Linked DNA regions of Arabidopsis thaliana. The protein of the gene in region 1 purifies or fractionates together with the protein of each later gene. This does not show direct contact. Each region holds a gene or a part of one and is shown on either strand. Other genes may lie near its edges.

Region 1 (5,378 bases):
TGTTCCTAATTGTTAGGCCTTCTAAATCCGACAAAGTATTTTTGCATTAGGCTACAAATTTCTTAAAGTCGAATTAATCACTTCAGACATATCATACGCCTAGCAACCCTCTGAATCTGGTTCAATGTTTGTATATAGCCAAATTAATATAAGATTTTTTTATATATAGATAAAACATCACCCATCAGTGATGGGCCATCACCCTAATTATAAGACATTGTGTAACTTATAACAACCTTCCATAACTGGTGTTAAGAAACCAAATGTGATAACTGATAAGATTATTTGCTTGCACATATCACCAATGAGATGATTTGTGAACATGTTAATGAATTAAGTATTTTTATTAATAAAGGTATAATGAAACCTTCATATCAAATTATGTGGGTGAGATGGAGGCATGGATGTGTTTGTTAGGCTCATACCTGAGGCCTCGTATGTTTGGCCTATTTCTTTGTTAGAATCTTAATTTGGTAATGAACAAGACACAAGCTTTTACATCTTGACAGAAACCTTTAAAATCCATCTAATTAGATGATTTATAAGATGCTTTATTATTATGATCTAACCACGTTTATATATTTTATTCAAACTGATTAAGTTTGCGTTGATTATTTACTTCTCAACCCATTTGCTAACTGTATTAAGTAAATTAACAAAATATGATTTATATATATGAACCATGGAGCTTTATGAAGAATTCTGAAAATTTCAGCTGTTTGATCACTCAAGAGGATACATGAGTTTGTTTGTACCAAACATAAATAATGCTTCACATTATTGGATTCTTCAGCGCTAGAGACATTCTTAATCAATCCAAGTAAAAATATTATGTCGATACTCCAAAAAATTGGGCAAAGCTTGGATACTTCGGCTCCCATCCTATCTCCGCTCGTGTCTTAGAGTTGTTCAGCTTCTTCCCTAAAGGACCACTGGTGCCTACAAAAGCCAAAGTTGTCAGACTCCATGAAGCTTAAGGTTTTTCAAGACAACTACATGTCAATGTCTGAAGAAACTCACTTGTAAAACCTTTGAACTTCTTATCAAATTTTCCGCTTTGAGCCATCAGGTCCATCACCTCTTGCCTGAGAAGAGTGAGGGGTCAAACATTTGATGTCTCATCAAAAGTTAGAAAGTAATCTCAAAGTTAGAACGAAAGCAGCATTACCTTGACAAAGGATGGTTGTCACAACCCAAGAAAATCCGAGCACCGGCTTTCTTCTTCATGATTGCAACTGCCAGCGATGCTGCATCCTGTTCAAAAACACATTAGAGAACCTGATAAGAGACTAATGTATAGTACACTGCCATTCTAGAAAATGAGTTCAATCTGCAGATCAACTAATTAGTTATGAGAGTGAACAAAATCACAAATATACCTCATAGTGTATGAGATTTAGAATATGATCAGGACGAGCATCAATTGTCTCCTTACTCAACCAGTAAGTATGTGCACCTCTAGTTTCTGTGTATAAAAAGTTCAGGAGAAACATAATGCTCAAATCTTCTACAGACCAAGAAAAAAGTCTTTCAATACTTGCTCATTCAGTTTCAGTATCGAAATCCAAAAGGATATGTAAAGCCCTGCTAGTCTAAGGACAGTCCCTCCACATTCCAACACTACTTTTTCAGCTTTCAAAAGCACATCAGTTCTTGGACTCTTTCCCAGTGGCACTACTGGAGAATCCTGCAGTGAAGGGTAACGAACTTAGAAATTCTTATTGAATAGCACATATATATATTCACAATGAACAAGAATTTGCATTGTGGTCTCAAATATCAAATTTTTTTATTGATTGTATACTTGATTTTCATAGATTTTAAATGTGAGAGACTCTTTTCCCCAAATTACCTCAACAAGTAATTGTGTTAAACAACTTTGATATAGAATAATACTAAATGTGGTGTTAAAGTCTAAAACTAGGAATTTTAGGATGGAGAAAACTGAAAGAAAATAGGTATTCAGGTGCTGAGACAAACCTCGTTGCATTCTCCGTTATCAAAGCAATCATAAGGTGCAGAACTAGATGTGAATAAGAATGATCCTTCGCCATTCCAGTTTGATGCTGCATTCCTGATCCGATTGTAAACACAAGCATACACACATATTAGACAGTTGAATGAAGGCAAATGTTTTTACTGTTGTCACATAGGATGAACTAAAAAGCACAAATTGACGTTTAGCTTCATTTTTCTTCTCCAGCTAATAAAGTCAAGCGCACAATAGTCGACATTTCTGGCATTCACTAACAGATCATAATGCATAAATTGACTTTCTAGTTATTAAAACATAAGATTTTTTGTAATTAATCACCTGACTTCACCAGCATAATCAGCGCTTTGTGATGGTGGAGCACAAAAGATCACATAGGAGAACTTTCCCCCATATTCGGTTCCTTTAAGAGATGGTTTGATACCCAAATTCTCCAACTCACCATGATGATTTGTTGTTACTGTCTGCCCAAAGATTTGAGACTCTGGATGTTCCTGCTCCACATATAAAGCTCTAACTCTAACTTCCATATTGTGAAAAACATGACTCTTACTATATATACGTTGTGAAGAAAAAGTACTAGTCACTATCCACACACACACCATATTGATAAACACTCAAGACACATTAAAACAGGGATTTGCAGGACATCATAAACGTTTTTGTTTTCGTAGTACAGAAACACCATATCTATCGGATGTTCTATAAGAAGAATATGAGTAAGTATCAAATTGAGCTAAGTCCCCTGTAGGGGATATACAACACAGAAATTATACCTGTCTCCACTGTTCTGCAACTAAGCGTCCAAGAACACCCGGTCCAACAATCAGCAGATCGTTTGCTCCAATTGAAACATGAGACTGGACCTTCAAGCCATCACTGGTCTCACCTTCATACAAAACAACATATTAAAAAGGTCACTACTTTGGAGAGGCAGATCACTAAACCTTCATTTACCATATTCTTAGCTTCCTCATCAATGTAATCAGAAATTGTAAATCATTCGAAAGCTCTAATTACCTCACTAAGCATAAAAGATTAACATAGGATTATCTTAAAAGTCAAAGTTCACTAATCCTTAAAGCAGTCGAATTGAAGAAGTAGAGAGTGAAGATACCAATGGTGGAGGAAGAAGAGGCTTGAATAGGGGTCGCCATTAACGAAGACGTTAATGGAAGAAAAAACGAGACTTTGGGTTTATCCTCCTGACGTCTCAAAGCAAACTTAAGTGAATATGAAGAAGACGCTGAAGTCGAGTGCTTGGAAAAGTGGTGAGTCGATAGAATTCTTGAATTGATCGTCGGAAATGAGATGCAAGAGATGAAACCCATTAAGACAAAAAAGCAAAAAGCTTTGGCTTTTGACGACGAAAAAGATTGAGTTGGCGTGGGGAAAGAGATGGGATTCTCCGTGAGACTTTGGTAATGGGTTCTCTTGGTGTGTTTTAACCAATGGCGTATTTACACGTCACGACGTCCAATGTTGTAGAATATTGGTCTTTTTTTTCGTTTCTTTTCATATTCTAAGTTTGTTTATAGGAAACAAAAGGAATGACATTTGCTATTAATATTAATGTTAAGGATTCGATAGTTTTACAGTTTACACACTCTTCTGTCTCTCTACTCTTCACATGAGCTCAGCTTCTTCGGTGTCTCCATCAACATCTTCAACATCGTTCTCGTCATTCTCATCTGTTGCATCTGGGTCTATTCCCTGCAACAAACACCCCAATTTTGTGAATACACTAAACATCATCCTTGTTCGAGCTTCATAATAAAATGGTTCGATTTGATTCTTCCCAACCTTCATTTGTTTCTCCAAGCGATCTAGTCCCTTTTTGGCTGCCTCATTCTGTGGATTTATTCTGCGTTTACATTATTTACACTCTGTTATATCGTTATTGTTTCGCATAGGAGCAACAAGAACTATAAGCACTACTGGCTTAGAATTTCATAAACCTTAATGCAGCTTGAAAGTGTGATAAAGAATCTTGTAGCATATTCGTTGCAGCAAACACTTGAGCTAGCTTGACGTGGAGAGAATCATCTGCATAATCTTTGAGATATCGTTCAAGTAGTGATACAGCATCTCCATTCCTCCCTTCCATTAGATGAAGCTCAGCTAGGGCTAACACAGCTCCAAGGTACCCAGGTTCCAGCCTCAGACCTGACTCGTAAAACTTTTTTGCCTGTTATAAAACCATATCATTCTACTGTTACACCATAAATTTTTATACATAATGTAAAGATCACAAGAAGATACTCACAAGCTCTGAATAGTTTCTCAGATTTGGTATACACTATGCTTATCAAAATTGAGATTTGAACAGTTAAGTTTAAGGAACTTTCCCAGTTTCAATATTTAGTATTATATGCAACTAACTCCCTAAAGCTTTCACCGCTTCTGATTAAGATGTAAAAAATCTGGATAGAATATTGATATGATGAAAATTGACACCATAGAAGCATAACAAAGCTGAATGTTTGTACCTTTTCCCTGCCACTTGATGTAAACGCATGAACATCACCAACTAATTTCAGAGCCTTCGCGGATTGAGGCATTGCATTCATTGCTTCCCTGGCGGTATACAATGCTTCTTTGGTTTTACCAAATGCAAGATAAGAATGGACTAAGCCTGAAATGACCTCAATAGCGCAAGTTAATTACACACTCCAACCTTTTCATGATTGTTAAAGGTTTATACCACCAAAACAGTACAACAGTGGAAGTGTATATCAGATCTTTTTCCCTCGTGAACCAGACCTTGATATGAACGAAGATCGGACCTCAAATTCTGGGCAGCCCTGAAGGCGATCGCTGCAGCTTCTGGTCGTTTTGCTTGTAAAAGTAGATTTCCCTGACGTCTTAACAAATTAGTGGATATATATATATATGCAAACTTACTAAAAATAAATAAACTCCTCGTTGAACTAGCTTACCTTCATTATGTAGCCGGGTATGTGCCTCTCGTCTACCCTGATACTCTGATTGCATAGTGTATGTCATGAGCTATCACACAAAGATTTTGGCACAAAAATTCAGTGTCAGAAAAAAGCTAACCTTCTCAGCATAAGATAATGCCGTCCTTGCATCTTTCCTTTCCCATAGTACAGACAAAGCAACAAATACTTCTGCTCTGGTATGATCAACGCTTAATAAATCGTGGACGAGCTTGTTTAGCCTGGAATAATCACACTTAATCTGAAGCAGCATCGCATACTCATCCATACTGGTTAGTGTGTAAGGATCAATTGACCGAACCTATAAAAGCTTTTAGATGATTATGCATGAATTAAAGAAGTTGAGAATTGAGAAAAAAATATCCATGTGGTGACTACCTTCTCAAATCTCATTATGGCCTCATCATTTTTCCCAATAATGGCTT
Region 2 (4,881 bases), on another chromosome or scaffold:
ATCGGATCGGAGCTGCTTCAAGGTCTCGAGATCGTCGTCTATAAGCTGAGCCTCGCGCTCAGAGTAGGTGAAAGTAACGTAGTTGCGGAGAGGACGGTAGAGATCAACGGAGCTCGTCTTCTTCTCATGAATGGCGAGCATCAGATTAGAGAGCGAAGAAGAAGCCATGGCGGTTCAAAATCCTCTTCGATCGCTCTTCCGATTTTTCTAATTTTCTTCGATTTTTGGTTTCCTTGATGGATCCTTATTGACTAAGAGAAGATGATCGTGAAGGATCGTGAGAACGACACCAAGTCCTGTGATCTTCTATGAAAACGGCGTGCAGTCTAATTTAGTGGTTAATACAGTCGATCAATGGCTTTTAAGCTTTTTTCCGCGTTAATTAAATGTGGCAACGATGGTGATTTATTTTGTGGAACTTTTCCTAATTAGAAACATGTCTAATTCACAATATTTTTTGGTATAAATCTTCTTGGTATATGTAGAAATTTTCTATTGAAAGTAGAAGAAATATGCAAAGTATATAGAGCATGGACATTAACATGATCACTAATCAAAAAAGAATGTTGTGGTGACAATCAACACAGTAGTATTAATTTTTAAGGGACTACAAAATTCTGTGTGTTTATGAATTAGAGAGGCCTTGAAGAGGACTTTCGTATCAAAAGAATAATGATGTGAAGAAACAGTAAAATTATACGATAATACAAGAACTATATCTGTCAAAAGTTTTTGAGCAGCTTGTCATTTGAGACTCCATCAGCTACAAGCATTGAAGTTATCTCCTGCAACAATACAAATCGAAACAATGATAAAGATACACATCTTCTAAAGCATTTAGGTTCTCATAAACAAAAACAGTGCATACCTCAGCCATTTGTTTCTGTCCGCACAGCACCGCTCCCGTGGCCTTGGGAGCTGATAGCTGTTTAGCCCTTGCAAAAGCAGCCTATACAACACATTATGTATATATTAGTTTGATCCACATTGAGTTACAGCAGACTTGACTAAGGAGCACGTTTCTCAATCTCACCTGCACATATCCAGTTTCCCCTTTCCACCCATCATCTGGCTGTGATAATACCGGCACAACTTTGACACCCGCTGATTCCCACTCTTTAAACTTTTCCTACAAAATCAAGAGCGTTTCCAAGATGATTCTTCTGTAGATCAAAATGAGAGCGAGAGATAGGCTTTACGCTTATCATCAAAAGATTTTTATAATTCAAGCACACACATTTATATCTACTGACATCATGAATTGCAAAACAACTGAGAGAAAGAACCAAACCTGGTAAGCCATCCTATTCAGGTTCCTAGCCCCGTAATAGAGTCTTACGTCAGATCTTCTATCAGCGCCAAATCCTGATTCGATTAGTGAGCGGATGGGGCTGCAGAGATAAGAACATGTGAGATTACATTCCAAATTGAAGACAGTTACTTAATTCACATCACCATCACTAAACATTTTTGATTGACCAGGCCTAGAACAATAGATGATTGAAAGAAACACCTTTACTTGGCATAAACAACAGATCTGATCGATCACCAAAGTCATAAAAACATTGACCTTTCATACATGAAACTCTATTTCAGTATTACAACATCATCACAGTAAAAAAATAGCCACAAAATTGGTCCATGGCACCTTTGGATAGATTGAAATCATACTGGAGTTCACAAAAAAGGTCCACAAAAAAGCAATTGAACCCGGCATCACAGAGGATTCACCGCAAAATGAGTAACTAAACTAGATTCAAGATACTTGAGTTTGAAAGCTTTGTATCTAGCTAATGCTCTGCACTGAAACCTTTAAACTAGACCACACTTGGATCATTGAATACATGAAGTAAAAAAGACAACTTCAGCAATCCAACAAGGTAGGAGAGAAAATGGAAAAAGCTCTCACCTAATTCCAGATCCAGTGGCGAAAATCAAAACGGTGGGATATTCCTCAGGAGGATCAATCAGATCGATATTGAAACCATTACCCATCACAGAGCTAAGCTCAACGGTCTCTCCTTTCTTCAACCCGCAGAGAATCTCCGCGGTAGAACCAGCGATGCTCTTGACCAAGAATTCGAAAGCACCACGAGAAGACGCCAAGGAAGGAGGAGAAGCGATTGCCATAAAAGAAGGCTTCTCAACATCAGGAACACGGATCTGGAGATACTGACCGGGTCTCGTGTACGAAGCTACGAGATCCGGAGCGTTTGAAATGTCGATTGAGATGTGGAAAAGCGATTCTGCAGCTGATTCGATTAGAGAGAGAGGAGCTGGAGTCCAGAGGGAAGCGTCCTGGCGAACGGCGGCGGCGGATACAACGGAAGCGACGCGGTTATTTCGGGATAAACGGAGATGGCGTGTAAGAGGGAGATGGCGCAGGATAAACATGGGGGAGAGGGAGTGGCTAAAGTGCGCATGGGTGACAGAAGGCGCGAAAGGAAGAGTGGACATGGTGGAGAGTTTTTGGGGCTCTATATGTGACCGTCAAATTTAGCCGGCGGTAGAAAAGGGCGGCCCGATTGGTTCGGTGGCACGATTGTGTTATTTTTTTTTGCTATGCACCTAATTTCCTTCCGTTACAATGTTTTGCCACGTGGATGATCAAAATATCATTCTATCTACTTTCCGACCACTTGTTGTGATACTTCGAAAATTGCATTCCCTCTTCATTTAATTTTGCTAGCTCGTCTTTCAAAGAAAAAACACCAAATCATGTAATTAAAAGACAGAATTGTGGAAGAAAAGTGACAAGCAATATGCATATTAAAAAACGTAAGAGTACATTATCAATGAACACTCCCTACCGTTGAGCCAAATTTAACGTATATATTTCATTCATGGTTTTGGAATTTTGCCAAGTGGCACTACACTATAGATTCCCTTGGTAAGGAATTACACATAACCAAGCACCAAAAAGCAGACAGTAGTACTTCACGATTATCACTCACCACTTTCCGTTTCAACTTTCAAACTCTCTCTCACAAGCCATGCAAGACGCGGAGAGAACCACCAATGATCCGGTAGACAGAATTGAGAAAGTGACATGGAGAGATCTGCAAGACGGATCTTTCACCGCAGAACTCAAGAGGCTTATCTGCTTTGCGGCTCCTATGGCTGCCGTGGTTATCATTCAGTTCATGATACAGATAATCTCAATGGTGATGGTGGGTCACCTCGGTAGACTCTCCCTCGCTAGCGCTTCCTTCGCAGTCTCCTTCTGTAACGTCACTGGCTTCAGCTTCATTGTTTGTTTTCCTTTTCCTTCTTTCCTCTAAATTGACGCACTTATCTCTGTTACTAGCTACCAGAACCATGGAAATTGCATCCTCTCCTCACTTTCTTGTTACTTTTTGATGATAGATAGGATTGTCATGTGCCTTAGATACTTTGAGTGGTCAAGCTTATGGAGCTAAGCTATATCGGAAACTAGGTGTTCAGGCTTACACAGCTATGTTCTGTCTTACTTTAGTGTGTCTCCCTCTCTCTCTCCTATGGTTCAACATGGGAAAGCTTATTGTGATCCTTGGCCAAGACCCTGCTATTGCTCACGAAGCTGGTAGATATGCCGCTTGGCTCATCCCAGGACTGTTCGCTTACGCCGTTCTTCAGCCGCTCATTCGCTACTTCAAAAACCAGAGCTTGATCACACCTCTCCTCGTCACCTCTTCTGTTGTGTTTTGTATCCACGTTCCTCTCTGCTGGCTTTTGGTTTATAAGTCAGGGCTTGGTCATATTGGAGGAGCCTTGGCTCTCAGCTTGTCATACTGGCTCTATGCCATTTTCCTTGGATCTTTCATGTACTACTCCTCTGCCTGTTCTGAGACACGCGCGCCGCTTACCATGGAGATATTCGAGGGCGTTAGAGAGTTTATCAAATATGCTCTTCCTTCTGCGGCTATGCTTTGGTACATCACTTTTCTCTGTTCCTTTTTCACTTCTCATTGCCTCCACATTTTTTGTTAGAAACTCTTTTATATATGGGTTGCAGCCTGGAGTGGTGGTCATATGAACTCATAATATTACTTTCTGGTCTGTTACCCAACCCACAGCTGGAGACTTCTGTGCTCTCTATCTGGTACTCATCCTTGCATCTTTCCATTTCCTGTCACAATCTTGAATTTGCAAAATCATAATGTTATTCATACTACGGACAGTTTCGAAACACTTTCAATAACTTATTCAATACCACTAGCGATCGCGGCTGCAGCAAGGTTAGAGCTTTTGTCACCACTATCCAGTACATAAATGCTGAAGTATACTTTCTGTTATGGTTTCATGTTCATAAGCAAGTACATTGTGCAGCACAAGAATCTCAAATGAGTTAGGAGCTGGAAACTCTCGAGCAGCACATATTGTGGTCTATGCGGCAATGTCTCTTGCAGTAATGGATGCATTGATGGTGAGTATGTCTCTATTAGCCGGCAGGCATGTTTTCGGCCATGTTTTCAGCAGTGACAAGAAAACCATCGAATATGTTGCAAAGATGGCTCCGTTGGTCTCTATTTCTATCATACTGGACAGTTTACAAGGGGTTCTCTCAGGTTCGAGATTTTTTCCCATTTCGTTTCTCAAACATAAGCTAGTGTCGAATATACAGCTCCAAGTTGTCATGCCTGTTCATGTTGTACTCTTTTCTGCCATTCTTCTAACCCTCGTTTGATGGTTGGAAGGTGTTGCAAGCGGATGCGGGTGGCAGCATATAGGGGCTTACATAAACTTCGGAGCTTTCTATCTCTGGGGGATACCCATTGCAGCATCTTTAGCCTTCTGGGTTCATCTGAAAGGTGTTGGCCTTTGGATTGGAATACTAGCCGGTGCAGTTCTGCAGACTCTTCTGCTGGCTCTTGTCACAGGCTGCACAAACTGGAAAACCCA

What was found.
Region 2: the proteins of EMB2799 (region 1) and AT1G15140 fractionate together in Arabidopsis thaliana (co-fractionation; one large-scale study listed by BioGRID). This does not show direct contact.

What each region holds. Positions count from the first base shown.
Region 1 is NC_003071.7:16,309,152-16,314,529, forward strand, and holds EMB2799 (NAD(P)-binding Rossmann-fold superfamily protein), read right to left. Parts: upstream 3,472-5,378; 5' UTR 3,325-3,471; coding exon 3,111-3,324; intron 2,883-3,110; coding exon 2,770-2,882; intron 2,488-2,769; coding exon 2,315-2,487; intron 2,075-2,314; coding exon 1,981-2,074; intron 1,688-1,980; coding exon 1,577-1,687; intron 1,470-1,576; coding exon 1,380-1,469; intron 1,255-1,379; coding exon 1,169-1,254; intron 1,086-1,168; coding exon 1,021-1,085; intron 940-1,020; coding exon 830-939; 3' UTR 647-829; downstream 1-646. Other genes in the region: APC7 (tetratricopeptide repeat (TPR)-containing protein), read right to left, coding at 3,620-3,706, 3,797-3,857, 3,952-4,181, 4,483-4,628, 4,757-4,850, 4,933-4,977, 5,054-5,254, 5,332-5,378.
Region 2 is NC_003070.9:5,209,681-5,214,561, forward strand, and holds AT1G15140 (FAD/NAD(P)-binding oxidoreductase), read right to left. Parts: upstream 2,670-4,881; 5' UTR 2,458-2,669; coding exon 1,910-2,457; intron 1,392-1,909; coding exon 1,292-1,391; intron 1,130-1,291; coding exon 1,034-1,129; coding exon of another isoform or gene 962-1,033; exon of another isoform or gene 950-961; coding exon 869-949; exon of another isoform or gene 786-868; coding exon 723-785; 3' UTR 501-722; downstream 1-500. Other genes in the region: AT1G15130 (Endosomal targeting BRO1-like domain-containing protein), read right to left, coding at 1-168; AT1G15150 (MATE efflux family protein), read left to right, coding at 2,994-3,251, 3,367-3,911, 3,995-4,081, 4,161-4,217, 4,309-4,547, 4,677-4,881.